Elephas maximus indicus: one gene and its partners. The protein of the gene in region 1 purifies or fractionates together with the protein of each later gene. This does not show direct contact. Links are inferred from orthologs where the notes say so. Each region holds a gene or a part of one and is shown in the gene's direction. Other genes may lie near its edges. The genes, in order: AMOT, MPDZ, PALS1 and LATS1.

Region 1 (7,616 bases):
TGACTTTCAGAGGTGTGCAGGAAAAGGCTGCTTTTTCATGTGCGTCTGATATATTTGCAGCGTGTTTTATGGGCAGGGGGAGGGTTATTTAGAGACACAAATCCTTTGGATTTATTTTCGCTGGTGTATGTTCTTGCCTTTGCTTGTGTTTGCAAATGCATGTACATGATTTAGTTGTTCGCCACACAATTAGAGGAGGATGTGGACATTTAACACTCCCAGTCAACCTGGTGGGTAGGGAAGAGTGTCCTTCAGTATGAAGCATTATGGTTTCATGGTCTTTGCTTCAAGAAGAACCTAGCCAGGGATTGGGGAAAGACTATAAGCCATGTCCTCCTTCCTACTTTTCCTGTACATTGAGCAAAAATATTGGATGCAAAGGGCAGAGATTGATCTTTATTGCATGTTAAAGGAGGAGTTGCACTCTATGGACAAAAAAAAAAAGGCCAAGCAGGACAGTTAGTTCAGGATGGAGACTCTTGACTTCCAAGCTTAAAATGATCCTCCTTTTTTCCATATCAGTATATGGGGCTTTTTTTTGTGTAGCACTTAAGTAACCCAGTGTCTTTACACAAGTATTTTACAGCTAGGGGTTAATTCTCCTGGTATCCCCTATAGGGTTCTTCATATTTTACTCGGGCTATGAAGACACAGAGATGCTGCGGGGATTAGTTAAATGTGCGTGGCATAGTTTGCTGTATAAACTCTCTCTCTGGAACTAGTTTTTCTCTCCCTGCTCTCAACTTCCACAGCTTTTACTGTCAATACCATTCATTTAGCACTTAGCATATTCTTGTTAGTTATCTTTTTATGTCTATATCCTTGTAGGAAGGAGCCAAGTTTCATACCTCTTTGTTTTTCCAGCCTTGTCCATAATAGCAGCTCAATCAATGTTTGTTGATGTTGGCCTCCCCACCCTCCTACCCCCCTTAAAGTGGAGCAGGCAATGCATAGCTTTAAATTCAAACTCAGTTTAAACAAACTGAAGGGTTTTCAGGGTAAAAACAAAGAGGAAGTCTTGTGTGGGAGGAGAGAAGGAACACCTAAGACGCTTGAATGACCTGAGCAAAGCAGAGGTACCAAAAACCTGTTGTTTGGCACAGGCTAAGAAGTGACTCACACATGGCCCGATTCACCTTTAAGTTTCAGAGCTCTGCTAACTTTATGCCGTGAAAATTCAAATTTGGTGGTGAACAGTAATGACCCTAGCAGGATTTGAGGAGCGGGTAATAAAAGAGTTAAATGATTCGGGCGTTTCCATGGTATGGAGGCCCTGGTAGCTGTGGGAAGACTAGTTGAAAAAGTCTTTTGAGAACCAACTTTAAGGCTGGGGGCAGGCATACTACAAACAGCTGCCAGATCTTTGCTACCAGAATTTTTTTCTTCCCAGCATCATTTGTAATGGCAAAAGATGGGAAATGTCTAAATTGCCTCATCGAGGCAGGATGAACCCCCTAACTATGGACCTCAGATAATCTTGAAATCTTAAACATTAAACCAAGAATATCCCCTGAAGTCTTCTTCAAACCAAACAATAAAAAAAAACAATAGGTTAGCTTAATTATTAGTAAAGAATGTCTGCCTTGAGCATTGTGCTCTTTTAAAGAACTATCTTTATGAAATCAAACTGACAATAATAACTCCAAAGGTTAGATAGGAAGCGTAAGGGGCAATCAGTTTATGTTAATAGAGGAGGAACAATCCTGAACAGGTCTGTGAGAATGGTTGCACAACTTGAAGAATGCTATTAACGTCACTGAATTGTACATGTAGAAATGGCTGAATTGGTATATATTTTGCTGTGTATTTTTCAACAGCAATAAAATAAAATAATTTTTAAAAAGTATAAAGAATGATTTCAACTGTATTCTATTGTGTTAAATGCATTAGAACTGGAATAATGCCTTACCTCTGAGGTCCAGGGCCAAAAAGAGGGGGCTGGCATACCATTTAAGCCAACTGTAACAGGAGGGTTACCTTGATTTAGCCCACCATTTTCCAAACTCATTTGACAACAGAATGTTTTTGGTCGTTAAGGACGAGGAAGAATGGGGCACCAGAAAAATTCATTAACTACCTGCGGTATGCAGTTGACACAACCTTGCTTGCTGAAAGCGAAGAGAATTTGAAGCACTTACTGATGAAGATCAAAGAATGCAGCCTTCAGTATGGATTGCACCATAAAGAAAACAAAAATCCTCACAACTGGACCAATGAGCAACATCATGATAAATGGAGAAAAGATTGAGGTTGTCAAGAATTTCATTTTACTAGGATCCACAATTAACATCCATGGAAGCAGGAGTCAAGAAATCAAAGGTTGTATTCCATGGGGGAAATCCACTGCAAAAGACCTCTTTTAAAGTGTTAAAATTTTATTTTAAAGTGTTTGTAATTTTGCTTTCATTTACCTTGGGAGAATAGCACTCATGCTTTTTGCCTGGTTTAGAGAGGCCATAGGAATATAGGATTTTTTTTTAACTTAGTGTAGAAATTTTAAAATGTATGCAACAGAAGTAAGAGAATCATTTAATGACCCCATGTACCCATCCTGCAACTTCAGTGATGAGGGATGCTCAACCAACCCTATACCCTTACTTCTTTCAGCCTTTTCTCTCCCCCCCCGCCCCAGCCCCGCCGCCCTCTTTAAAGTGTTAAAAAGCAAAGATATCACTTTGAGGGCTAAGGTGCTCCTGACTCAAGCCATGGTATTTTCAATCACCTCATATACATGGGAAAACTGGACAATGAATAAGGAAGGCTGGAGAATTTATGCCTTTGAATTATGGTGTTGGTGAAGAATATTGAGTATACCGTGGGCTGGTAGAAGAACAAACAAATCTGCCTTGGAGAAGTATAGCCAGAATGCTTCTTAGCAGCAAGAATGGTGAGACTTCATCTCATGTACTTTGGATATGTTATCAGGAGGGATCAGGCCCTGGAGAAGGACATCATGCTTGGTAAGGAAGAGGGTCAACGAAAAAGAGGAGGACCCTCAACTAGATGGACTGACACAGTGGCTACAGCAATGGGCTCAAACATATCAATGACTGTGAGGATGGTACAGGACTGGGCAGTTTCATTCTGTTGTACACAGAGTCACTATGAGTCGGAACTGACTCTATGGCACCTAACAACAACAAGAAGAGAATGGTGGTTTCCATGGTAAATGTTCCTCATATTTGTTTTTTCAAGTTCACTTCAGAGATACACAGCATGATTTCCTCTTTCAGTACCAGCACCACAATAGATTTAGGTCGTGGCGCCACTGCAGAACTGTTTAAAAAAGAAATCTCACCCACCCTGGTTAGAAAAGGGGCAATTTATTATTCTAACTGCAGGGAGCCAATTTCATATCCACCTTTAAAGCTGTAGGAAAAAAGTTGATTTTTTAAAAGAAAGCCGCAGAACCTACACACCTTGGATGTAAATGCTTAAAACAGATGAGCAGAATATGATTCCCAAACTCATATGAGAGACTCTCTGCCATGTGTCGTACACAGTAGGAACACATACATTTGTGGAGTGCTTTGTGGTTTACAGAGTTTTCACACACATTTTATTTCCTTACCAATGCCAGGAAGTTAATAGGGCATGTCTTATAGCCTTTATTTACAGATAGGGAAATTAAACGATTTAACAAAGGCAAACAACTAGCTAATAAGTGCCAGAGCCCGAAATGAATTCTTCCCTTGGTTCCAAATTCCATGTTATTCTGCTATCCCTATGCTGTTTCTTGGTGCTTTAGTTTTCCCAGCTGTAAAATGGTAGCTGGTGTTCTCAAATCCCAGTGTTCTTAAGCAACAGCAATTTTTCGTAGCTCGGAAATATGAACACCACATTGATACTTCAGGTACGTTTTACCCCTCCCTACCTGGTGTATTGAGGAGGAAGAAAAGTTACTATTCTAAGTGCTAGACAGTGCCGTAGAGGTGTACCCCAGTCTGCGGATACACTGTCGTACTCTTTTTAAAAAAAAAAAAAAAAGAGACTGAGAAATCAAGCTTCTCATCTTTCTTTTCCCAGAAGTGGCTGGGGGAGAAGAGAGACAATAGCTTCTTGTTTAGTTTTATCAATTTTGAGGGCGGGTGAGGCAGAGGAGCGATTGACGGCTCAATTGACCAATCGGAAAGGAATGCTAAGGTAGGATTCGCCAACGGGAAGCTGCAAAAGAATGGTGGGTGGGATTTGCTCCTCTGGATCCGCTCCGCCCAGGCCAGTTCTCTCAGCCCGCCCAAGAGGCGGAGGCTCCACAAGCCCCGCCCACCTTTCCCCTGCCGTCAGAAGGAGGGGCGGAGGCGCTTGGTGGGGGAGGGGTCGAAGGCTAGGGGGAGCGGAGGAAGAAAGGAGGGTGTCTCGCAGAACCGTGACCTGGGTGGAGGCCTGCTGGTAATAGGAAGCAAGAGGGGAAGGAAAACGAAGGAGCGCTGCTTCTTCCTGCATTATTTGAAGCTGACTTTGACAGAAGCTGCTTCTCAGCTTTTCTATTATTTGTTTTTCTGCTTCCCGCTGTGGGGCGGAGAGCTGCACTGGCTCTCCCACGCGACTCTGCTCCGCTTGTGCCGTAGATTATTATTGTAGTCTTTTCGAAACCCTTTCCTTCCTCCCAACCACTCCTTGCGTAGACTTTCGGTACTCCCGGAACCAAGCCATGCCACGTTCGTAGTAGGGCGGGAGCGAAGGCCCCCACTTTCGCGGGAGCTCCTGGACCCCGCCGTTCAATTGTTTGAAACTTCCCCGCCCCCTGGCCCCGCCTCTCTTCCGCACCTCCCCCCTCTAGGGTCCAGTCAGGCTCCCGCCCTTCTTTCCCCGCCCTCTACTCCGCCTCCTACCCTAGTCCACCGCCAACCCCTCCTCTCCTGGGCGGTCCTAGCCGCTCACCGCAAGAAGAAAAGCCACCCATTCGTCCCCCTCCCCTACCTCCCATCCTTTGCCCAGGAGCTGCCTTCATCGCAGTCACGCCCCTTCCTTCCTAGGAGCTTTCTGGCTGTCCAAGCTTTCTGGCTGTCCAAGCTGGTAGACCCCTTGAATTACTCCTCCATCCCTGCTTTCCTCGCCTCCTTTTCCCCTAGTTCTCTTCCCCCGCCCTCCCACCTCGAGTCTGTCTAGCCTCGGATCATCCGCTGCTCCACCCTCCGGCCCGGTATCCTGCCTGTCCACTGCCACTAAGGAGAGACCGGACGGAGCAGTGAGGAGGAGAGCAGCCGGGAGTTGGGGCTTCCCCCTGCCCATCCCTGGCCGCTGGCCCGGGACTGAAGCCACCTGAGCGAGCAGAGAGCCGTCACCCTGTCTTCGTTGCCTTCAGGGGTAGGAGAAGTGTGGTTACTTTTTACGGGGAACTGGGGCAGGAATTAATGGTGGCATGAACTTGGTCGTGCCCTCGGCGTGAGTGATTCGCTCTAGAAGCTTGTAGAGATGCCCGTGCGCTCTACTTTCTTTGCAGCTGGCCGTGAGTTTTCCAGCATGTGCAGCAAGTTAAATCGATTAAAGAGTGTGCACTCCTTTTCCGTCCTACTTCGGCAAGGAGATGCTAGTGGGTACCACAACTTGATGGTTCTTTAACTTCCTTGTCTTCTGGGGTCCTTGTAGGTCTCTAGGCAATTAATCACATAAGAAACTAAAGACTCAAGGGAAACCGAGATTTACGTTTGGCCCAGCAGGAATATCTGCTCTTATTTCAGATGACTAGATGAGTTTCTCCTCTGTGCTTAGGGTAGGGATGGGGGCTAACACTCCACTCCTCCAGGCGGGGGATGGGCGGCAAGTGAAGTCCGGCTGGGGGGTGTTGAATTCTTGAGGTCTTAAATTCTGGGAGTAATCTATCACGCTACGCTCCTTTTGGTGTATGTGTGTGTCGCTGGTGGTGGGTAGGGGCGGTAGCCCCTTATCAGCTTTATAAGGTTTAATAATGTTGGTTAACTAGTTTTTCGGGATCAGGCAGGTGTCGTGAGGGTCCCAAGCCCAGGCCACTGCGTAGGTGCTTCAACAGCAAGATGGACTTCATCAATATTTGAAAATAAAGAGAAGGAAAATTAGGGAAAGTGACAGTCTTTGTAGACTGTGAGCAGTCCCCTGTAAATTGCCACTAGTAATATTATAATAATTTGCAACAAGGGACTAAACACAATTAAATGAGAGAAAAAAAGGAAAGGTTTGTGAGAAACAGCATTTCCAATCTCTAGTAGATACTTTACAAAGACACTTTAGGGTGTTTTAGTTCAGTTCCCCTCCCATGAAGGGTGGAAATTTGGAAGCAGTTTAAAAATTTTTATTAATTAATCCTCTTCTATTCAGAAAGGAAGATAATTAGTCACCATATTCTTTAATGTTGGAGGGCTAAGGGTATGTAAGACTCCTTGAACTAGGCTTTGTGAAAAGTTCTTTCTTGGGACAGCCTTTGTGAAGCCTTCTCAGTTAGTCCTTTGAGCACCCCCATTTAGTAACTAAGAATAGTTTGAAATACCATTTTCGACATGGGATACAACTTCACCCATCTCCTACTTATTTCCAATTGGGTAAGTATGACAAGCTTATAAAAATGGTGGTGTTCAAAGATCTATTACCGAAATGTCCCCAACCCGTTGCTTATTTGGGAACATATTATTTCCTTATATTTTAAAATAATTTCTTTGGTTGATTTTAATAAGAGAAAGGAAAGCAGGGAGAGAAGGAACTTTGCAGGGTGACAATTTTAAAGGCTATCACGTTTCAGATCAGCTGGGAGGGAAGAGCTGGCTTGACCAAACTGCACTTTATAACTGGCCTGGGACATTTTAATAGCCAGGTGGTTGTAGAGTAGTTGCATCTATTTACAGATGATAACTCAGGTTCCAGCTATTCTGTATGGGTTTATCTGGTTTCATTTACAGACACTTTCTGGCACTACATCATATTTCATTTTAAGAAATTTCTTCCTTCGGAAAAATTTGTGGCTCCATAAAATTGAAAGTACTTTTTCTAACTTCGTAATCTAGATGTGAAATAAATCTCAGACCACACTTACATATAGAGTGGATCTGTTTAGCTATTTCAAAGACTTTAGAAAGGAGATTTTTAAAATTCATATTGAATACGACTTTTGATTTGAACAATCTCATTTCTGGTTTATGAATTAGAATATATTAGACTAACGCATAACCAAGGGATTTTGTGGAGTTGCGTTTCCTGGAGTTTTGTAGAGAACAAACCAGACTTTCTAGAATGCTTTGAGCACAGTCTAATCAGAAGGCAGAGGGATGGATGCTATGACCTTGAGGTTCCGTTGAGTGCCAGAATTCTAAGTGGGTACATCTGCTTCTGTGCCTCTCATAAGAGCCCTCTCCCAGGGCCTGTGCCTTCTTTAAAAGGGTGTCTTTGTAATTAAGCAGCTCTTTTTTTTTTCTCCCTCACCCCCCCTTACTTCCTTTGATCCAGCTTTTTAAGGCCTTTTTTCCCGTTTGGAGACAAGAAGAGTTTCTCACACTCTCCTACTCCCCTCTTAAGTTTTTTTTTCCTCCCCCCCCCAAAAAAAAAAGTTCCCTGAAGTTCTCAGAATACTTAGAAGTTTTTTTTTTGTTTTTGTTTGGGGAGTGGGTACCAATGAGGAGGAGTAAAGGATATATTCCTCCTTGGGAAAT
Region 2 (7,524 bases), on another chromosome or scaffold:
TATGCCACCAGGGTTTCCAGCAGAAGTGTAAACACTTTAAATTAAAATGACTTCTAAAATTTAATTTCTTTTCTAAGCTAGTACATACATAGGTAGGGTTGCCAGATAGAATAAAGGATGCTGTGTTAGAGGTCCCCAAAACTACCCTCAAATTTAGTAATCTGGTAGAAGGACTCACAGAGCTCACAAAAAGGTGTTCTACTTATGGTTACGGTTTATTACAGCAAAAGGATAAAGACTAAAACCAGCAAAGGGAAAAGGCTCATGGGAGAAATCCAGAGGAAGCCAGGTGCAAGCTTCCAGTTTTCCTCTCCTAGTGGAGTCGCATGGACAGTGCTTAATTCTCTCAGTAACGATGCTTGACAACATATGTGAAGTGTTGCTAACCAGGGAAGCTCACCTAAGCCTGGTGTCAGTTTTTTCATTTTTTATTTTTGGGGGGCTTGGGGTCTCAGTCATGTAGGCATGCAGCACCTGTGTGACTGACCTTAGCTATTCATCCTTTCCAGCCCCCCAGAGGTCAAACTGATACAGCATGGCCAAAGCCTCAGAACCAAACCAGTGGCGGTCAAGTCAGTTCCAGCTCGTAGCAGCCCTGTAGAATTGCCCCATAGGGTTTCCAAGGAGCTGCTGGTGGATTTGAACTGCTGACCTTTGGGTTAGCTCCCAAGCTCTTAACCAGTGCGCCGCCAACATAGGCATTCACCATAAATCACTTCGTTAACATAAATTATCTGGGGTGGCCTGAGGCCTCACACATACAAAGACACTTTATCCCCAGGGATACTGCAAGGGCTTAGGTCATCTTTCAGGGGCAGGGCAGTGGACCAGTCCTGAAAACCTTGGAATTATGCAGGGTTTGATCAGCCTAGGCCTGCTGAGTTAACCCTTTCCTGCACAGATGCCCACTTCAGTTTAACTTCTAGATAACAACAAATAATTTTGCACTCTTAAGTATTTCCCAAGTAACGCATGGGTCATGCTTGTATTAAAAATATACATCTATTTATCTGAAATGCAGATTTCATCAGGCATTCTATATTTTTATTTGACAAATCTGGGAACCCTATACCAAGATCCAAACCCAAACCAAACCCAGTGCTGTCTAGTCGATTCCGACTCATAGCGACCCTATAGGACAGAGTGGAACTGCCCCACAGAGTTTGCAAGGAGCACCTGGAGGATTTGAACTGTCGACCCTTTGTTTAGCAGCCGTAGCACTTAACCACTATGCCACCAGGGTTTCCTATACCAAGATACCAAATTAAAGAAAAAAAAAAAAAGAAAGAACTATTGTGCAAAGTAGTTCTCAGTGTCCCCCAGTTACCCACATCCCAACTATTAGTGTTTTGGGAAAACTTGCAGGAATAGTCTACGCTTTTGCAAACATGTCCACATTAATTCCGATGTACAAATATATTTCCCCTGCCCTTCTCGTATACAGATGATAGCATACTTTCTATTGTCCTGCACCTTATTATTATTTTTTTCATTTAACAATATATTTCCACTATGTGATTTTGTGTAACAATATGGAAAATGCAGGGTAGTATACTAGAGTGAGTAAGGGCTTTGTAATCAGATGGAGTTGGGTTCAAATCCAAGTTCTCCCACTTTTTAGTTGTGTCACGTTGAGTAAGACCTCAACCTTGCCTTTCCTGTATTGTCTTGTCTGGAAAATGGAGAGAAAAATGTGCCAGGCACTGGGAGATACTGTGGGGAACAAGACAGTCAGGCTTCCTGCTCCTGGGAAGCAGTGTGTGCTAATGGAGCTTGCCTGTCATTGTGGTACCTAAGAGTAGATACTGAACACATAGAGCCATTATTGACATGTTTTGTCGCTCTGAGTGCCTGCCTACTGAAACAGATTTTAGGTTCAGTTATAACCAAATAGTGGTGTGGCTACAAGCAGAATACATATATATGAACATTAACTCAGGGGGAACTAATATTTTTATGCTGTTTGAATATTCTTATTCTCATTGTATCGAGAATTTTGGTACCTTGAAATGTAACATCTCAGCATCTCTCCATCTGAAAAATTATGTGATTACAAATGGATTTTGTTTGTAATTAGAACTGCATCCTTGAGATGGGGGTACAAGACAGGGACTTTCTTTACATCTTGTCTATTTTTCATAGTTACTAATGGTAAAATCCTCTGGAAAACTTCAAGAAAGCTGTGTATTTATTTATTTTAGGGACATCAGAGCAGAGAATACAAACTGTGAAACTTCATTTTTTGTCACTGGGGTCCAGAAGAATGGAGGTCTCATTTGGAGCTAATGTCAGCGATGTGCAGCTGAATTTTTTTTTTTTCCACCTCTGGTGGGGGGAAAAAAAAGTATTCCTATTTCGACATAACTGACTTGTAGGTGAACTTTTGGACGACAGTGATTTTCTCAGTTGGGCGCTGCCTACTGGTACTTTCTCTGCAGACTGCTCACAAATCAGTGTGCTTCTGATTCCATAGACTACCGCCCCCTCTGCTCCATATCCAAGTCCTGAATGCTGCTTCTCTTTCTGAGTTAATTTTCACAGAGGAAAGGGAATAGAGCTAAGTTTTACTGTGCATGCCAAGTACTCATATACAATTGTATCCTTTCAGATCTTTATAAATAGTCATTTGTAGATTGTTGCAGTTGTTTGTTGCCTTCGGGTTGACTCGTGGTGACCCCATGGGTTGAGAATGGAACTGTTCCATAGGATTTTCAAGGAAAAGATAAATGACTTAACAGGGGGCATAGAGTTAGTAAGTTGTCAAGCTTAAATTTTAAATTCAAGTCTTCAGACTCACTAGTTCATGCTCTTTCATTACTACTATCATGCTTCTTCCTGAGCCATTTAATGAAATATACCTTTCTAGATCTGTACTTCCTTCTATTGGGGTATCTTATTTTTTAATTGTCAGAAGTTAATAATTTTTGGCAGGCATCTAGTAGTATGATGTTTTATAAAGGAATATGATATTCCCCTTGTGAATAAGATTATCACCAATTTATTTTTAAGATCTCCCTATAATACGCTACCCATGAAACCATGCAATGCTTGGCATTGGAATTCCTGCCTATCTGGGTTTAGCATTAATCCTGAATATGTGTTATGGTTATGGGTTGTGCTGTGAGCTGGAAATAATTTAACTCATTTAGCACACTATACCCAGTGAGGAAGTTTGTTATCTATAAAACAGGTTGAGATGGCAGACCACTTGGTCAAGGTCACACTGCTATTTAGATTTGAATTCTAAGCCAGAGTCATCTTTACTTGATGGCGAAGCACTTTCTATAACAAGTGCCAATAGTTGAGCCATTTGGCTATTTGATGTTTTAATTAGTGTATTCTAAATTGGGATAAGGAAAGTCAGTAAATACTGTTCTGTATTATTACACAGAGCTAATGGATACATTGAAGTTCTGTGCCTCTGCTCATATATGTTACGTACTTCCCTTTTCCCAAATATATTCTCTTTTAAATATGTAATGTGGGGTAACTTGTTCCTTTTTGGAGAAGTTCTCTCCCTGTCTCATCATCCAGATGAAGAATGGGGATATATGGTGGTAGGTTCTTTTTCTTCCTGTTGAAGTAATGGCAGACTGACTTCCTGATGACTCACGGTTTTCTGTAAGGCAAAGGATAAGTGTTAATATGGAGACAGGTGTGGAAAGCTGTTGGACCACAAAGATGGAAGATGGACTTAGCGGTACGACCATTGCCAGTGCAGATCAGTATCTGATGCTTCAAAGAGTTCAGTTAAGTAATGTCAGAGAGAAAGATGAGACTGGTGTGGTTTGTAGGAGCTGAGAAGAATTTTTGAATGGGAAAGAGGAGAATATTATAATCATGGGGGGTATTTTGAAAAATCCTCTTCTCTAACACTGGACTCTGTTTTACTCAGTTTCTCTTCCATGATCTGGTAGTTTCGAACTGCTGACCTTTTGGTTAGCAGCCAAGCTCTTAACCTCTATGCCACCAAGGCTCGCTTCCCTGATTTAGTGTGTTATCTTCCAGTGGTTCATGCAGTGCTTGAGTGTCACAGTTCTTTCCTAATTATTATCTGTGTCTCCCCAGTTAGACTGGGAGCATTTGAGAGCAGAATTACATTGTCTTTTTTTTTACATTTTTGATCTTTTCATCCACAAAATTTCTGAAGCAGCAGTAAGCTCCTTACTGTATGGTTAAGGTTCTAAAAGTGAATCCAAGATAATAGCAGTCTATATTGAGAAGCTCTTAAGGAAATACTTTGGAAACTTCTACCGTCTTATTTAAAAAAGATTATATGCCTTGTACTTTTTTATGCAAGTATTATTCATAATTATAAGATCATTTTGAAAAAGCCCTAAAATGATTAACTTTTTTTTTCCCCTATAAAGAACATCTAAAGTTAAATCAACAAATTTTTAATGGTCAAAGGATTGCAGTAGTTATCAAGTACTTTTTAGAGTACTTAGTTTTAGAATAAAATTTTAAAGTTCTGATAAATATAACAATTTTGCTTTATTTCTTTTATTCTCAGTGGTCCATTTTAGTTGCTGTTTTTAATCATCGCAAAGAAGATAACTGAACTTTGAAAAAAATGTTGGAAACCATAGGTAAGACCTATTCCTTCCTGCTACTTTTGTAAAAATTGAAACACATTCCATAGGGATTTTGGAAATACGGTATGTTCTACATAGCAGGATTCTATCTATAGTAACTTAGTTTTAAAAAAGTTTGTATTCACCAGCATTGTACTGGGCAGTGTATGCCTGTATCTGGGCAATTTCATCGGAGGTGTTATAAAACTCATTTATAAACAAAAGTTAAAAGTGTATGAGATATTCCGTTATGGATTTTAATGAAGTTTAATGTAAACACAGTTCTGGTTAAAGTTTGTTCCTGGGTAGCACCAGATAGTTCAGCAGTATTTTTTAATTCTGGAAGAAGGTCATTACCTATGTCTTAATTTTACTTTGTTTGTGACAGGTGAAGTACTACTGGCCTTTTGATTTTAATGGATAAAGAGAACACTAACAGTCACTTAGGCTGCATCCAGGTGGACAAACTTCAGTGAAGACTTAAGGCAGTTTATTTTCTACATGAGACAATTTAGGTTGAAACACCCAAATTTTCCAAGCTCAAGTGTTAATCTTTTTTCCACACTGCTGTCTAGTTTAAGAGGAACTAATTTCTAGAGAAATTAGTTACAGGTATATCAGGTGTGTAAAATCATGTGACACCTCAGTCCCTCACCTGTTCCAGATAACTCTAGCTATGACTATGGCAGGATGTATGGATTTCACTCTGGCAACTTGACGGTCACGGCTGGTACCATGATAGCTGAAGTGCTGAGGGGTAGGGTGAGAGTAGATGGCAATGAAGGGAGAAGAAGCTGGCTTTGTCATCATGGGGACCGTTACTGTGACTCTGTTCCCAATACCATGCTGGCGATGAAAATGCAGGGACACACATTTCCTTCATCACTTGTTTTATGCTGAAGTCATACAGCATAAAGAATACTAGTCCACAGAGGAAAGTTACTTGAAGTGGAAAGGAGAGGGCAAATATAAAACTATTTAAACCATTTCTTTCTAGTCTTTATTCTGTTACTGAGTTGGACACCTCCGCAAAATTGACATGCGGATTAATATTAGATTTGCATCCTGAGATACCGTGGGAAATATGACCCAGAATAAAATTCTTATGTATATCTTTATCATTTTTGGCTTTTAAAATTTTGTGTATTAGTAAATATTTTTTTCTTTTAATTTACATGCATGAGAACTCATCATTAACATCAATACGTGTCTTTGTTTTCCCCATTTCTGCGTAGCTCCAGATTTCATGTTATGGAAAGTGTCTTTGGTGATAATTCCCACTCTTATCCCTTACTGTGATATGGCAGATATTTTAATAGATGCACTTGTTATTATAAATCTATCAGGACATGTATCTAAATAGAGCCCCCTCCTCTTTTTTTCAAACAAATCTGGTCTCACTTATAAGTGTGTGTGTGTGTGTGTATGTTTTAGGGCGATGCTTTTAACTATTGTTTGTGGTGGAAACTCACTGTGGAGAAAGCATGCCTACAAGATGCTAGGACTGTTAGGGACACACATATTCAAAACCTTTACTTGTGGAACCCTGGGCCTGATCCATAAGGTGATTAATAGATATTTGGGTTGCGTTAGTTTGATGCATATGTTAATATGCTATTTAATTTTGGGGAAAGACATTTAAAGTTTTCAAAAATAGTTTTTTTTCAAACAATATGTATATTGTGCTGTATTTCCAAGCAAATTCTCATTACAGAATGTTTTGTCCTATAGTATATGAAATTGTTATATTTTGGAGATTGTGCCGTGTCAGTGACATTATCCATACCTGGAAACCCTGGTGGCGTAGTGTTTAAGTGCTACAGCTGCTAACCGAAGGGTTGGCAGTTCGAAACTGCCAGGCGCCCCTTGGAAACTCTGTGGGGCAGTTCTACTCTGCCCTATAGGGTCGCTATGAGTCGGAATCGACTCGACGGTACTGGGTTTTATTATCCATACCAATTTATTGGTGAGGTAGTTATATTTCTAATTTCCCTTATATTTGAATACAAAATTTAAAAAAGGGAAAATGTCAGTATTTGCAAGATCACAGAACATTTGGCTTTATATAGATTTTATAAAAGAGCTGAGATAGGTGACGTTAGAATTCCAGTACATTTCAACTGAATTAGTTTCCGAACTTTACAACTACTTGCATATGGCAGATGCTAAACCAAGTTCCCTGCTTTCAAACAAACTTTCTTACAAGAGACTTAAAGGTGTGAGGGACATATTTAGAGTAACATGTGGCCAAATCAGTTACCGTTTAGTCCATTCTGACTCATGGTGACCCCACGTATGCAGGGTAAGACTGCACCATAGGGTTTTCGAGGCTGTGACCTTTCAGAAGCAGATCACCTGGCTTGCCTTTGGAGGGGCACTTGTGGGTGGGTTCGAACCGTCAAACTTTGGGTTAGAAGTTGAGCACTTAGCCATTTGCGCCACCCAGGGTGACGGTTCCCCTTTTTCTCCCTTGCGTCAACTTTATGCTCTCGATAGCACAGGAATGGTTTTAGGATTGTACAAATATGGCGTTCTCACAGGTTTGACACGTGTCCTTTGAATCCTGCTATTGACTCATGCTGTCCTTCGGTACAGACAAAAACCGGGCCCTGCGGGCAGCCGAGCGCTTGCAGGCCAAGCTTCGAGAACGTGGGGACGTGGCCAATGAAGACAAACTGAGCCTCCTGAAGTCAGTCCTGCAGAGCCCGCTCTTCAGCCAAATCCTGAGCCTTCAGACTTCCGTGCAGAACCTGAAAGAACAGGTAAGGTATCATTCTCCCCAGCAGGTGTTCATGGTGCAGCCTAGAGAGATCTTTTGAAGGGCTCGTGTGTTGCTGCTGAAAGGCAGATTTTTATATGTGTTAATGAATAGTTAATGAAGTCATTTAAACCTCCAGACGAGACATTCAGTTTCACTGTGGCTTTTTCCCCCTAGTTATTTTTGTCATGG
Region 3 (7,620 bases), on another chromosome or scaffold:
TTTTGATTTAGGTTATCTGTGATCATCTGGTTCAGAAAATTATAAGTAATTAACCTAGTATTTAGTTATGAAAACCTAGACTTCACTAGTACATAGAGGTGATAAAACCTTATAATAACATTAGTTAAAGGACTATAAGGAACATAATAACTTTAGTTAAAAATTTCATATATAATAGTGAATGGTAGAGTCTTAGAAAGTGAGATTTTAGACCTGTTGCAAATAGGTCAGATGTAATATTAGTATGTTTTTCTAAAAACTTTAATGAAATAAAGTAGCACAACATTTGATTACATAAACGTGTAATAGGGGATATTGGCAGATGATGGGTTAAAGAAATGCCAAGATAAGGAAGGACAAAAAGTATTTACAGTGGTTTCTCTCCTTGTGCACTTGACTTTACAGCTTGGCTTTCACTCCTCCTCCTTAATACTTGGTTACAAATTTGCCAGGATGACTCAGTGAGTGAACTGCCTCGTGACAAGGATGAACAGCTGTTCTGACTCAGTTTTAAACCACAGATTACCCATTTCATTCTATTTTAAGATGAATATTATATTTTCTTAACCCCTATAGTATCTATGAGGAGCCCTGATGGCACAATGGTTAAACACTTGGCTGCTACCCAACGGTTCGAACCTACCAGCCACTCCATGGGAGGAAGATGTGGCAGTTTGCTTCCATAAAGATTAAAAAACCAAGTCAGTTGCTGTCGAGTTGATTCCGACTCATAGCGACCCTACAGGACAGAGTAGAACTTCCCCATAGGGTTTTCGAGGGTTTAATCTTTATGGAATGCTTTCCTCCTCAGAGGAACTGGTGGGTCCAAACTGCCAATCTTTTGGTTAGCAGCCCAGTGCTTAACCACTGCACCACCAGGGCTCCTTCCATAAAGATTACAGCTTTGTAAACCCCATGGGGGCAGTTCCGCTCTGTCCTATGGGGTCAATATGAGTTGGAATCAACTTAACAGCAATGGATATAGTATTCACGTTAGACACCATATGCAAAGGCTACCAGAATCTAGAAAAAACTACTTAGTAGTTAACTTCCTTACATTATAGATGAGAAAATTTAGGCCCAAGAAGCTTGTCATGCATCCAAATTACAGAACTACTTCTCAGCAAAGCTAAAGCTCACATTCAATCACCTTGCCTCCAGTTTCTATACTTTCTACTCTTTTAGTTACCCTTCTTTTTTTTTTTCCCTTCAACAAGACCAGTAATTTGTGTCATTTGGAAATTGAGAATGTCTCAATTTATGAGAGAGTAGATTCCTTATTTGCCATAGGGTTTACTGCCCTCTATTAAAATGAAAATACTTTTAGGAGATAATAATAATAATAAACATCCGTATAACACTTCACAAAGGAATTCCCACATATTTTGAGAGCAGTGGCTGCTACCTCAAACTGATAGTAATCATAATTTTTCCAGGATGAGGTTCTGTGACAGAGGGATCTGAGCAGCTAGGGGAGCAAGGGCTCGGTACCTGAAGGGTTCATTTGAACGGGGATGTTTTGCATACAGGTAGTCCCTGACTTAAAATGGGTTTCAGTTCCAGTGACTCTGTCATGTTAGTTCTAAGTCGAATGCCTCATTTAAAAAATTTTTTCATTATTATTGCCTTTTATTGTCAGTATCTTTATAAATCCAATCTTTATTTCTCTTTGAGGGTTGGAAACATTACATATAAACTTACAGACATATTTTAATATATTCGTGTGTACATAAAATATTAAACAAATCATTAAAAAAAAATAAGTGAGATTCTTTGTAACTCGAATATCATTGTTATGACGGGGACTACCTGTACTGCCTGAGGCCAGGTAATTAGAAGGTATGGGTTTGAAATACTCTCTTTAGAGGTCAATTCATTGAATAGCTAGATATCAGTGGTTCTTAACTGGAAGTGATTTTGCCCCACCAGGGAACCTTTGGCAAAGTCTGGAGACATTTTTTATTGTCACAACTGGCAGTGGAGCAGGCCTACTGGCCTCTAATGGAGAGAGGTCTGCAATGCTGCTCAACATTCTACCATGCACAGGACAGCCCCCCACCACAAAGAATTATCCAGCTCCAAAGGCCCATACTGCCGAGGTTGAGAAATGCTCAGTTAGAGGAAGCTCCCTGAATTATTATTTATTTTATGCATTTAAGAACTTAGAAAGGAAATAAGTCATACCATGCTAACCATTTTTCCTTTTTGGGGATGAGTAACAGTTTCTAGGGAATCCTGGAGACTGCTTATCTGGATTTCGGTTGTACATTTCACAAATTCTCATGGTATCTCCGTGGAGGAAAATGGCAGGAAGACAGCTCAGGTAGGTTTGCAGCTGATTGTCTGTACTCAGAGTCTACCGATAAACATTTGATGGCAGGAGGATTAAGAGCTCTAGTGACGTCCTGCAGAGTCCCATCCTCATCCCTGTCTTATTAAACACTTATAAATGACTGGGATAAAGACTTGGATGGAATGCTGATCAGATACGAGGATGATAAAAAAAAAAAAAAAAAAAACTCTAGGAAGGGTAGGGATCCAAAGAGATCTTGGCCACCTGGAAAAGTGATTTGCTTAGTCGAGGGCACCACAGTTCACCCATAGATGTCCAGAGGAGAGTTAGAAGAAGGTGAAAGAACTTGCAAGTACAGACCTGGGGATATTGCGACTGAAGATGGGAAAATGAGAGGAAAAGAGGAAGGACATGATAATTGACATAACAGAAGTGCTTTGAGGAAGATGTGGCTAAATACAATAAGCATGCCTCTGGGAGAAACTAGCATCAATAGGCAGAAGTGACAGAAAGGCAGATTTCAGCCTAACAGAAAGGTTAATTAGTAAATATTAGAACCGTTCAAGAGTGGGGCACGGCGCCTTGGAACACAGAGTTCTTGCTTACTGTCAAAGCAGAGACCATACAATGGATTTATTATAAGTGTTGAGGTAAATTTGCTGTTATTTCTAGTTAGAATGCATTAAAAAAAAAATTATTTTGTTGTTGAGAATATACACAGCAAAACATACACCAATTCAACAGCCTCCACGCGCACCATCCGGTGACACTGATCACACTCCTTGACCTGTGCAACCACTCCCCTGGAGAATTGCTCCTCCATTAACACAAACTTACTGCCCCCTAAGCTTCCCATCCAATCTTTCAGGTTGCTGTTGTCAATTTGTTTCCATAGGTAGTTCTTAAAAGAGCACAATGCTCAAGGCAGATATCTTTCATTAGATAAGCTAAACTATTGTTTGGTTCCAAGAAGGCCCCAGGGTGTATCTTTGATCCAAGGCTCAAAGATTACATTAGGCAATAGTTTCAGGGGTTCATTCAACATTCATGGCTCCAGGAAGTCCGGAGTCCACGAAAATTTGAATTTCTGTTTTGTACTTTCCTTCTTTTGATCAGGCTTCTATAAAATGGTTAGAATGCATTTCAATCTGCTTTGAATTTCTTGCCCTATGGAACTCACTCCCAGAATTCTGCCCTATTCAGAAGGGAACATAAACAGGTCCTGAGTGGACCAGCCTTGTGTTGCACATGGGTTGGCTTGTTGTTGTTAGGTGCTGTCAAGTTGGTTCCGACTCATAGCAACCTCAAGTACAACAGAACAAAACACTGCCTGGTCCTGTATCATTCTCTCAACCACTGCTTTGTTGGAGCCCATTGTTGCACCCACTATGTCAGTTGATCTCGTTGCCGGTCTTCCTCTTTGTCACTGACCCTCTACTCTACCAAGCATGATGTCCTTCTCCAGGGACTGGTCCCTCCTGATAACATGTCCAAAGTATATGAGACAAAGTCTTGCCATCCTTGCTTCTAAGAAGCATTCTGGCTGTACTTCTTCCAAAACAGAAGTATTCAGGCGTTGGCCTAGGTAACTCTAAATCCATTCCAAAAGCAAGATTTTGGTCCTAGGAATTCTTTCTTTCAGGTTTTCAGAAAACTGTGTCCAGCTGATAGCTTTTTGGAGTCTTCTGCGGTAGTAGAGGATGTTTCTGTAGGACACTACACACACCAGATTTTTAATCAGGCCATGGCTTATTTCTGAAACAAATGTTAGATTATGTCATGTGCTTGACAGAACAAGCAGTCACCTCAGAGGGAAATCAGATTTTCTTCAGTAGGTGACGATCATCGAAGGAAAGAAGCGCCAAGGGCTGTAGAACATGAGCTTGGTTGGCTCAGGTACCCTTGCGTCCCCATGCAGCCTAAACTGCAGGCTTAAATCAAAGCAACTGCCTGATGCCTGCGGGCCTGAAGCAGCTAGCATTTTATATTGAGAGGCGCGCGAGTGCGCGCGACCGGCCGCTCGGGAGCTGCAGAGAGGGCCAATGAGCAGGCACTTTCTCCCCGCCGTCTCAGGATTGGACGAACCGCGCCAGCCTCTCTGCGGAGCAGTGGGCGGGGCGCACTGGGGAGGCACTGGGATAGGCGCGTCCGCTTCGCCAGAGTGCCGGGGGCGCGTGCGCGGTCTCGCGGAAGCCGCGGGGGCCGGTCTCGCGCGGTCTCGAGGTGGAGCCGCTGGCGGCTGTGGCGACGGCGGCGACGGAGGAGGCTGGCGGCGGGGCGGGGGCGGGGACTAAGGATTGCGAGGTGGGGAATCGGGAGTTTCTGGATTCTTTATGCGATATTTCAAGGGCTGCCGGAGGGCCGTCGCTTCTGCAGTGCTTAGGAGCGGCTGGGGCGGGAGGATCTACGGCGGCCGTGGCGCGAAGGTAAGAGGCAGACGGGGCGCAGCTCGGTGTGGCGATCTTAATCAACAGGTTCCCGGGAGCGCGGCGGGGGAGGGGCGGTCGGGAGCCGCGGCGGCCGGGACCCTGTGCCCCCCGCGCGCCGCGCGCTCCGCCGGGGAGGGACCCGGGGCTGCTCTGTGGACTGCCCCAGGCAGCGGGAGCCGCGGCCGCCGAGGGCGTGAGGCTAACCTTTGTCCCTCGGAGGAACGCTGCCTGCGCAGTACCCGTTCCTTCTGTCCTGGCTGGCGAAGGGACGCACCTTGGCGGGGGCTCCTGTCGGCCAGGCCCGGCTTGCAGGAACGCGCCGGGTATCGCCTGCCCTTTGCGTTCCAGCCTCTGAGCTCGCGACTCCCTTCTGGCCGGGTAGGGGATGTCGGCAGGGAGTGGGGGTGGGGGGAACACTTTAAAAGGCCGAATGCGTTCCCCTGCCTGACTCAGCTCCCGGTATTCCGCTGCTCATTGCGTTCTTTCAACAAATAAAGAGCTTCTTGCTTCCTTGTGACCCCTTTTTTTTAAAGAGCCTAATGGTTAATGGTTTCTGATACTTGGAGATTGCAAAGTGAACGTTGAAGCTGGAGATTGTAAGCTACGTTTCAATGAAAGGCGTTTCGGTTTTTGCAGCAAATTATGTAACTTCCTAATAACAACTCACCTGTTCAGTTGATGCGACGTACAGTAATGAGTACGGAATTTAGGTTTCGGTCGAAAGATTTTTCTTGGCGGTTTACGCTAAAATTAAAATCTGATCACCAGAAGGTTTTTAGAAGGAGTATGTAGTTGTGTGTGTTTTGTCTCCATATTCGTTTAGAATTGTTAAGAATTTCCATTTGGAAAACTTGTGAATAAGAATTTTGAAATTTTAAGTTGACTGACAAGCTGTTAATATTTCTGATATTAATGATTATTAAAAAGTTGCCGTCCAGTCGACTCCGACTCATAGTGATATTAATAATTGTATTCTAATTATGCCTTTGGATTATACCAGAAGTTAATTACCTATTAAATTCTGCAGTAGGCACAAATGAAATACTGGTTATTGGTGTCTTTGAAATATAAGTTGGTGGTAATAAAAGTTATTCATACTTCATGGATTATGAACTAGATCCCTGTGGACATAGCATGTCATAAATTTCAAAAGGCTATTGTATTAGACTGAAGCTATTAGTAATAATGTAAGAGCTTCAGAAATAAAACAGGCAAAAGTATGAAAAGCAATTCCTCATTTTATCTTTGTAAAAAAATTGCATAAATCTTAAACACTGTACTTGAGTGACTTTCGGCTAGCCAAACTTAAAGTTGACAAGTAAAGGGAAAGGCATTCATAATTCAGCTTGTTACAGAACATTAAAAAGGGAGAGATGTACCAGTCCACCTGAGGGTGACTCAAGTCAGTATAGTCGGTTTAGCTGATGTGGTCTAGTAATGTTTATTTATATGCTCTTCGTGAATTATGGTCTTTATTTAAAACCTCATCACACATATTCCAAGAAATTTGGTCCATTTATGTATTGGTATACTAAGTTGCCCTATTTCTCTGATTTCTGATTTGGGGGGTTTTGGGAAAAATTGTTCCTCAATATGGATAAGTGCTCTGGAATATAATTTTTGATTACAGTGTACACTTATTGAATCATAGGATCATTGAGTTGGAAATAATCTTAGTGACTTTGTTACCTATCTTATTTGTCAGGGAAAAGTGAGGCTTGTAGCAATTGAGTAGCCCATAGTCTGACTCTTAAGTTAGTGGCATACCCAGCCCAGTTAGTGGCATAGTTGGAAGTAAATGCTAAACTACTTGTCTCCAGATTCCAAGTCCAGTGCTCTTTTCGCTATATTCTATTACTATAAGTGAACAAACCACTAAGTTACCTTTCTCAAAATCATTACATGAAATCGGTGAGGTTGCTTTCCCTTATTCAAATTTTTCTTCTTTTTTTTAATAACCACTAATTACAGTTTGTTCATTCCCCTACTGAAGAGTTGTTTTCAATTTTTCAAACCATGTTTAATGAATATTCTTGTGCATGTCACCTTTAGCACATGTACGAAGATTTCCCTAGATGTATACCTACCTGTAAGAAGAAATACTGAGTCATAGGTTGATATGCATTTTCAGCTTTACTAGTTATATACAAAGTACCTTCTAAAATTGTACCAGTTTACATACCTGCCAACAATTTGAGTCTCAGTGCTTTCTCATCCTTGCCCACATTAGGCATTATTAGATTTTAAAAGTATCTGCCACTTGTGGGTGAGAAGTGTATTTTGTTTCCCTCCTTTTAAAGGATTTTAACATTGTCCTTAATTTATATGAAATAAAATAAACTCCTTCTGGTGTACAGTTATCTTGACAAATGTATAAAGCTGTGCAACCATCACGATCAAGACACAGAAGAGTCCCACCACCCAAAATTCTCTCGTGCTGCCCTTTTGTAGTCAACCTTCCTCTTCCCTGCTAGCCCCTGGTAACCAATGATCTGTTGTCTTCCCTGTAGTTGTATCTTTTCTAGAATATCATGTAAATGGAATCATACAGTATATAACCTTTTAAATCTGGTTTCTTTCACTTAGCATTATACATTTGAGATTCATCCACATTGTTGAGTGTAACAGCAGTTTTTTCTGTTTTACTGGTGAATATAGTATTGCTATGAGTCAGAATTGACGGCAATGGGTTTGGGTTTTTTTTTTTTTTTAATAGCATTCCACTGTATGGATGTACCACAGTTTGTTCATCCATTCACCAATTTAAGGACATTTGAGCTATTTTTAGTTTTTTGTGATTATGAATAAAGCTGTTGTAAATCTTTATCAGCAGGTTTTTGTGTGAACATAAATTTTCATTTCTCTTGGGTAAGCCTCTAGCTAGAAGTGGGATTGCTA
Region 4 (7,957 bases), on another chromosome or scaffold:
TACTACTCAAAACTCAAGATAATCAAAAAGAAGGGAGGTCTGAGAAACTCACAGCCAAGAGGAGCCTAAGGAGACACAATGACTAAGTGTAATGTGACATCCTGGATAGAATTCTGGATCGGAAAAAGGACATTAAGCAAAAACTTAAGGAAATTTAACTGAAGTATGGACTTTGGTTAATAAAAATGTGTCAGTATTGGTTCCTTAATTGTAACCATACTCATGTAAGAGATTAACAAGGGGGAGCCTAAGGGTGGAGTATATGGGAACTCTGTACTATAGACACAATTCTTCTGTAAATTCAAAACTGTCCTAAGAAATAAAGTTTATTAAAAAAAAAAAGTCATACCTGCTCTCCTGATGTTGCAATAAATCTCCTAAGCAGCCTTCTCCTAATTTATTGTCTACCGACAGCAAGCATTGTCCTAATCAACGTTTTTGTTATGCCAAATGTGGACTCTTTGCTCCCATCAAGTTCATCCATAGTTTCTTCTACATACAGCTTGCTCACTCACCTGCCAATCCCATGTTCTCTTTTTTCAAAATCGGCCTGAAAAGATAGCTCCCTGACACCTCATTATCAACCCCATTTAGCACATATATCCAAAAAGTTCCCATTTTTAGGTACATTGTATCCATGGAGACTGTCTTAAGACACATCATCATGAGGCAAAAGTCCTGCCTCCATAAAATGCTGTGATAAATAACGCAAGTCTGGTGCAAACAAGATACCAAGAGAAATATGAAAATACATCTTACTAAAAATAAAAACCTGTCAAAATTTGTGAGATGTAGCTAAAGCAGTGCTTAGAGGGGAACTTATAGCTTTGAATCCCTATATTAGAAAATTAAAAAGGCTTACTATCAATTACCTAAGTTTCTACCCTAAAAACCTAGGAAAAGAGAAATTAAGCCCAAAGCTGTAGGAAATAAAGTGAAGAAATCAGTGAAACCAAAAACAAACAGAAGAAAAGCCTAAAGTTGGTTCTTTGAAAAAATTGATACATCCCTAACAGGAAGAATTAAGGGAGAAAAAAACAATACCTGTTGCCAATATTGTATGTGTTGTGCCTCCTTCCTCCCAAACTATGGAAAACATACTGAAGTCTCCCTGATGTAAAGAATAAGCAAAAAACAAAACCATCCTCCAATTCTCCACCTACATCCTATCCACCCCCTTCTGTTAACTTCCAGACTTCTTGAAGAATCTGTCAAAATTCCATCTCCTCAGCTTTCATTCCTACCTTGATGGCATCTAATGACCAAAATGGCAGCCAGTGGAGAATGCCTGCACTAGACTGTGCCATGAATAAAATGTTACATAAATGCAACTTCTAGAGTCAATGTAATGCTTACATTGTTCCCCAACTGTATTATATACTTCAAAAGGACAGAGATGGTGTAGTGTAATGCCATTCAGCTATATGCATTCCCTCCTAATGGAGTCAGTTTTGCTCTTCCCTGAAGCATGCTGGGGATAAACTCTGGATAGACTTGGGCTGAGGTACAAGGCTGGGAGTGATGTGACTGGGCCGGTGGCCAAGGCCAAGGAACACCTTAGCGACAAGGAGGAAAACATCTGGGCCTGGAAGTGAAGTCCCTGGGAACACTGGCTTCCCAAGGATGTGGGAGAAAACAATGAGCCTTGGTCCCAGCTGGAATGGTATATAAGCTTATGTCCTTTGCTATGCAGTTGTGGAGCACTAAACTGGTCTAGCCGCTGCCCTGAGCCATGGTCCCGTTATAAACCATATGTTGTGATCACTGGTTCTGGAGCCTTTCTTTGGTCTCCTGGAGATGCAGCTGACCTTGGGTTCAGGTGCCACTGGGTTGTTACACAACAGACGGTGTCTTCATTTTAATCTCTCCACAGTGTTAATCATGGATTTGTGTACCCAACAGGTACAGTAAAAGTATTCTTTTTTTGAAAGAAATGGATCCTAATTTATTTTACTATAGTGAAGTGGTGATCTGGATCAAATATAAAGAATGAAACAAATTTGGAGAGCTGGCAGCTAATTTTAAATTCCAGATTAAATTACAATAGAGGCAGACCCCAGGTTATGAACAAGATCCATTCCCAAGTGTGTCTTTAAGTCTTTAATTTGTGGGTAACTCAGAATAGGTGCATATGGTTCTTATTTAGCCTTATTTTAGTGCAAAGGAAACCCTGGTGGCGTAGCGGTTAAGAGCTACGGCTGCTAAACAAAAGGTCAGCAGTTTGAATCCACCAGGCACTCCTTGGAAACCCTAGGGGGCAGTTCTACTCTGTCCTATATGATTGGTATGAGTTGGAATCAACTGGATGCCAATGGGTTTTCGGTTTTGGTTAGTGCAAGAAAAGGCTTGAACCTTTTTCAGTGATGTAAAAGCTGCACTCACAGCAAAGGAACGTGATTGTGATGAGTTTGCTGCCAGTAGGAGTTGGTTCCATTGTTCAAAGTGGGGACAAATTTATATAACATTAGAGGGCAAGTATGAGCTATCCATAAGTCAGATGTTTCTAACCCAGGGACTTATTGTATATGGAAACCATGATAGTTCGCACCCAGAGAAATAGCCCTTAGATATGGACCAACCACAGATGCCATCTCTGATTTATAAAATTTCACCTAGAAGACACCATAACAATCAAGAGGTGAGCATATACAGACAAAAAAAGTAGGAGCCCTGGTGGCCCGATAGTTAAGCACTCCACTCAGCTGTGGACTTAAAGGTTAACAGTTTGAACCCATCCAGCTGCTCTGTGGGAGAAAGACCTGAGGATCTGCTCCCATAAAGATCACAATCAGGAAAAGCCTATGGGACAGTTCTACTTTATTACATGGGGTCACCTAACAACAACAACTAGATGAAGAACCTCTTTATATAACAAAGGGGAATGATTGCCAAGATATATAATTAAACAAATATAAAACAAATAAAGCATGTCACAGAACAGTATGTATAAGGGGGGAAAAGGAAGGGAAGAAAAGAACGTAACTGTACTTGTATGTATGTGCATAGCATCTCTGGAAGGATGCACAAGAACTGGCAGTAACACTGCCTCCAAGGACGGGAACAGGCAGGTTGGGTAGACAGGGATTGAAGGTTTCACTGTTTCTCCTTTTTTTTTTTTTTTTTTTTTGCTACTTTGTTCCACTTGAATGTATTACCTATTTAAAAATAAAGTGAGATAGAGTAGTAAACGTCAAAGCCAAGACTTGGATGGTGAAGAGACAGGTTAAGGGGAACTAGAGATAAAAAAAAAAAAAGAGAGAGAGAGAGAGAATCAAGGGAGGACAGCAGCAGGGTCTGGCAAAGAGGTATAGTTCATAGCCAATAAGGAAAACAAGGTTACTGTGGACCATGCAAGCAAAGAGAAAAGCTCAGATTAGAAGTTGCAGCAGTACAGAAAGGTGGTTAGGAGGCACTGGAGTTGGCACTGGAGTCAGACTGCCTGAACTCATGTCTGGGTTTCCTCATTTAATTGCTATGTGAAAGTGCTGAGCTTTGTGGCTAGTATGTAGAAAGCTACCAATAAAGGTTAGCTGCTATGACTATCATGCAGACAAAGAGCAGCAAGTCAGGGGGTCAACAGTGGGCATGAGGCCAACATGCAGAAGTTTATGGGTGATTATTCAGGCAGAGCAGACAGCAAAAGTAGTAATCTAGAACACTGGACATGGGGGCACCGGACAAAGAACTTGGGAATGGAGAGGTAGAGACCCAAATATAGAGGGCAGGCAAGAGCTGGCAGCTATACTTACACAAGACAATGAGGTCAAGATTTGGTGAACAGGTAACTTCAAAAAAAACTGAGGCACTGACAATAGCTACAAAAGATACTGTAAGATAACAGGGATAAAAGTATTTAAAGAAAGATAAATATTGCGACCAACAATGTAGATACAGATGTCTAGGTTGTGATAACCGTGGAAATATTTTTTCGCCATTTAAAACTGAATTCAGATTTCAGTTGAATATCTACTGAAGATCTACCATTTGTCAGGCTGTAATTGGTGCTAAGAAGAGAGCAATCTGCAGAACAGATATTCCTACCTTCATGGAGCTTACAGTTTAGAAGGGCTCTTGGAATGTAATCTTTTCTTTCAACAAAGGTTTCCTCATTTGAACTTCCGGATACACTGGCCAGTCATTCATATAACATCAGAAAAAGAAGCCTTCAATTAAAAAAAAAATTTTTTTTTTTTTTTTTAGTTAGCCTTTAGTAGAAAAATGATGAAAGGAGGTACTTGAAAATGCTAACTATTTATTTTCTAGAGGCAGAACTGGCAAAGTGCTTCCTTACAAAGGATGGAGGGTACCTCCAACGATCCCATTCCAAGCTTCCGATTCAACTTAACAGGAAATAAAACTTCTCACCACTGGTCACTGTTATTCCTATTAGGACAATAATGACCTCCTCTTGTACTGATACTGGTGGCAGATAAAGGTCTCTAAAATATGTTTATTAATCTGTCCCGGCTCTAGGAACGTGTTATTTGGCTTGTTCGGAGAATACATATATGCTTTCGCTCACAGACTTACTCGGGGAAAGAGCATTAAGCAAGCATCAAAGTTTACTTCCAAGCCTCTAGAAATCCTGTATCTGATGGCCACCGCGAGGTACCAGAGAGCGACTCGTTGCTGTTCCCTTCTGAGAATTAAGCTCCTGGACACGCGTATCTTTATTCTATACCCGTTCAGAGCAAAAGCTCAATTGAAAGAAAGAGAATGAAATCCAGGAGTGGGCTTGGGTGGGGAAGAGCCCGACTCCACTAACGGAGCGTGTGTCATCTGGGCAGCGAAACGCGGGAGCGACGCGGCTGACACCAACACCCAGAGGTGCCGGCGGAAGTCGCGCGCGGGAGGCCGCAGGCAGCGCGCTCGCTCCCGGCCGCCGGGCGGGCAGAAGCCCCCAGTCCTCGGCCCCCGCGCAAGCGACGCCGGGAAATGCCCACATCCGGGAAACCTGCCGCGGAGCGCTGCGGCGGCGACACGGAGTGGAAGGCAAAATGGCGGCAGCGGCGGTGGCCTGGTGCTAAGGGGAGAGCCAGGTCCCCGCGACCCCCGCGACCAGCCGCGCTGGCCCGCGGCAGCCCCCCAGCGCTTCTCCCTGCCCTGCCCAGCCAGGGATACTTGGGGTCCCTGGTACGGGCTCCGGCCTCCTCGGCGCCCGCTCTCGGGCCCGTGGCCGCAGTCCAGGAGCCCCGCTCTCCCCTGCAGGTAGGTCCGCGGCGGGCGTAGCGGGTGGGGCCCACTCTTTTCGGGAGCCAGGGTTGGCGGGCGGTGGCCACCGGGGCCCACGCCCATCCTCGCTGGCGGGGGTCCAGGGGCTGCTGCGGACGGGCGGGCTGAGCCGGCCGGGGCCGGGCCTATCTGGGCTGGAAGCGTTGACCTGAGCTGAGCCGTGCCCTGGGGAAGCGTGTGTTGGCCGCGCCCAGCACTGGAGGAAGAGCCCCAAGCTTTTCGGGCTCGGAGGTGCAGGTTAAGCTGGGAAGAGTCTGCCTCCCTGGCGGCCTTGCGCCGACCGTTTCCCCGCCACCCCACCCCCAACACGCGAGTCAGCGGTGTCTGGCAGGGGAGGAGAGCCGAAGGTGGCTCCGAGAGAAACTAGCAGTGGGAGAGGTGCAGTTCTTTGGATCCCAGAAGCACCCGATCTGTGTATACATTGAAGAAATTCTATTATCTATTTCCAGTCCACTGTAATGTGGTTACTGTTCATAGTTGGAAGTGGTGAGAGAGATGGAAGAGTGTTTATGAAGAAGTGTGTATATAAACACAGAAGATGATGGAAAGAAAGTAAAAGGAACATTGCATATTTTCGAAGAGAGCTTGTAGCTCATAGAATAACTCTCAGGTGACTTGATTTAACCCCATACTCTCTCTTCTCCAATTGAAAGTCATTATTTAAGGGACCAAGTTTAATGTTTGTCTTTTTCATATCTTAATATGGCTTAAAATATTTATCTTCGTCTAGAAGTTCATTCATAAATTTAGTGAGAAGCATAGTCTCACACAAAAAAAATCATATTGTATCACTTCATCTTTGGAAATACATTTGAATACTTGAGATCATGGAGTTTGCCAGGCCACTATGGATTATTTATGAAGAGTAATTTTTTTTTTTTAATCAGTTTTCCTCTAGAAGGAAGAAAAGGTGGGATGTTATAATTGGAATTAGTATTCTTTGCTAAGGTACTGACATTTGTAGCTGTCCTTACCAAGGTTATTTCTTTCCTTTAATAAGTTAACAGGTAAAATGGGCTAGTTGATTGCCTAAGTCAGTGGGGGAATCTAACTGTTAAAGAGGTAGCATTGTGTTTTGATCGGCTGTGACTGCAAGAAAGTAGATCGTGGCACATGGTGGAGAAGGCACATTCTTTCTGTGCGTGCATATTGATAGACTGTGCCGTGCCACTCCTAAAGCAAATAAAAAGCTACTACAGCATTTTCGTTACAGCATTTTTTGGGGGTATGATAGTTGGACTTCATTCTGTAGGTTAAACTTTAAGTTTTTTATTTTTGTTTTTAAGTCTAGTCCTTGTTCTGTATAATACAGTCTGAAAGCAAACTCTGGTTACTTAATTGTTGTTTAGATTAGTGGAGCGTTTTTGTAGACTTCAGAAGTTGTTTAGTCACTGAACAACATTTTTATCAAGAAGAAATGGCAGTCATTTTTCAGCACATAAGTAAAATACAGTGATTATTTTCACTTTTGATCAGACAGTTCATTCTTAGAAAGTGAATTGAAGAGAATGTTATCAACATTACACAGGCTTTTCTTGAATATTCTTGTCTAAACAACTAAAACTATGAAGATTTTTCCAGCTAAGTAGCGGTACCTATTACTGTGGGCTATTCTCACAACTGATGTATTCAAAGCATTGAAACAGGTTATCTTTTTTGTAAATCTAGTTTAACCAAAGGTAAACTTGAATATCTTATTATGTAATGGTATTAGTTCTTTCCCTAAGTGTTGTCAAGATACTCAATATTTGTTTCAGTTTACTGATATTTGTGTTTTTGATAAATGTCTAAACTTTCAAAGAAATGGAGATTTTAAGTCCATTTAGCCTAACCAATTTCAGTGCCCCTTCAAAGATGATCCCTACCTGTTAAGGAGACTCAAAATGTAGGTGTAATGGAAAGATTCAGCTGGCTGTGTGACCTTCTGCAGGCCACTTTCCCTCTGTGGATCCATTTCCTTTTCTGTTGAAAAAAATACACACACGCATGTATGTCTGTGTGTGTGTTTGTATCTCCAAGATACCTTATTCTCTTTGAATCAGTGACATAGCAGGAAAAGTAAGACAAGTACATACGTAGGGCAAGAACATGTTTTGTTTGAACCATGCAAGGTGCATTTGAAGTTTTGAGGAGAAGGATAACAGCTGGGAGTTCAACGAAAGCTTCTTGAAGAAAGTGGTATTTCAGTGGGACCTCAAAGGATGGGTATAATTTCTACCAGAGGAGATACTGCAGGAGCTTTCCCAAGAACTCTTACTAGTTTCTGAGTTCATTATGACTCATGGCGACCCCATGTGTGTCAGTAGAACTGTGCTCCATAGGGTTTTCAGTTTCAGAAGTATATTGCCAGGCTTTTTTTCCGAGGTGCCTCTGGGTGGACACAAACCTCCAACTTTTGGTTAGCAGCTGAACACCAATCGTTTGCTCCACACAGGGATTCTGTCAAGGAGAATAAACAGGTAGTTAACACATAACATCGTGGTGACATCCTCCTTTTCAAAACCCTTGTTAATTATCTTGAACCTCTTTATTATCTTTATGATTGAGTGTATAACTTTGAGGCGTATTGAAGAACGGAAACCCTGGTGGCATAGTGGTTAAGAGCTACGGCTGCTAACCAAAAGGTTGGCAGTTCGAATCTACCAGGTGCTGCTTGGAAACTCTATGGGGCAGTTCTTCTCTGTCTTCTTATAGGGTCAGTGTGAGTCGGAATCGACTCAACGGC

The links.
Region 2: the proteins of AMOT (region 1) and MPDZ purify together in Homo sapiens (affinity purification with mass spectrometry; 4 studies listed by BioGRID and IntAct, with this or other methods). This does not show direct contact. The link is inferred for Elephas maximus indicus from reciprocal best matches to the Homo sapiens genes AMOT and MPDZ.
Region 3: the proteins of AMOT (region 1) and PALS1 purify together in Homo sapiens (affinity purification with mass spectrometry; 6 studies listed by BioGRID and IntAct, counting the BioPlex papers as one, with this or other methods). This does not show direct contact. The link is inferred for Elephas maximus indicus from reciprocal best matches to the Homo sapiens genes AMOT and PALS1.
Region 4: the proteins of AMOT (region 1) and LATS1 purify together in Homo sapiens (affinity purification with western blotting; 3 studies listed by BioGRID and IntAct, with this or other methods). This does not show direct contact. The link is inferred for Elephas maximus indicus from reciprocal best matches to the Homo sapiens genes AMOT and LATS1.

Annotation. Positions count from the first base shown.
Region 1 is NC_064846.1:44,572,904-44,580,519, forward strand, and holds the start of AMOT (angiomotin), read left to right. Parts: upstream 1-4,591; 5' UTR 4,592-5,307; intron 5,308-7,616.
Region 2 is NC_064827.1:23,295,712-23,303,235, reverse strand, and holds the start of MPDZ (multiple PDZ domain protein), read left to right. Parts: upstream 1-4,513; 5' UTR 4,514-4,573; coding exon 4,574-4,589; intron 4,590-7,169; coding exon 7,170-7,336; intron 7,337-7,524. UniProt on the Homo sapiens protein: Member of the NMDAR signaling complex that may play a role in control of AMPAR potentiation and synaptic plasticity in excitatory synapses. Promotes clustering of HT2RC at the cell surface.
Region 3 is NC_064828.1:79,589,161-79,596,780, forward strand, and holds the start of PALS1 (protein PALS1), read left to right. Parts: upstream 1-4,591; 5' UTR 4,592-4,719; intron 4,720-7,620. UniProt on the Homo sapiens protein: Plays a role in tight junction biogenesis and in the establishment of cell polarity in epithelial cells.
Region 4 is NC_064819.1:220,991,026-220,998,982, reverse strand, and holds the start of LATS1 (serine/threonine-protein kinase LATS1), read left to right. Parts: upstream 1-4,957; 5' UTR 4,958-5,208; intron 5,209-7,957. UniProt on the Homo sapiens protein: Negative regulator of YAP1 in the Hippo signaling pathway that plays a pivotal role in organ size control and tumor suppression by restricting proliferation and promoting apoptosis.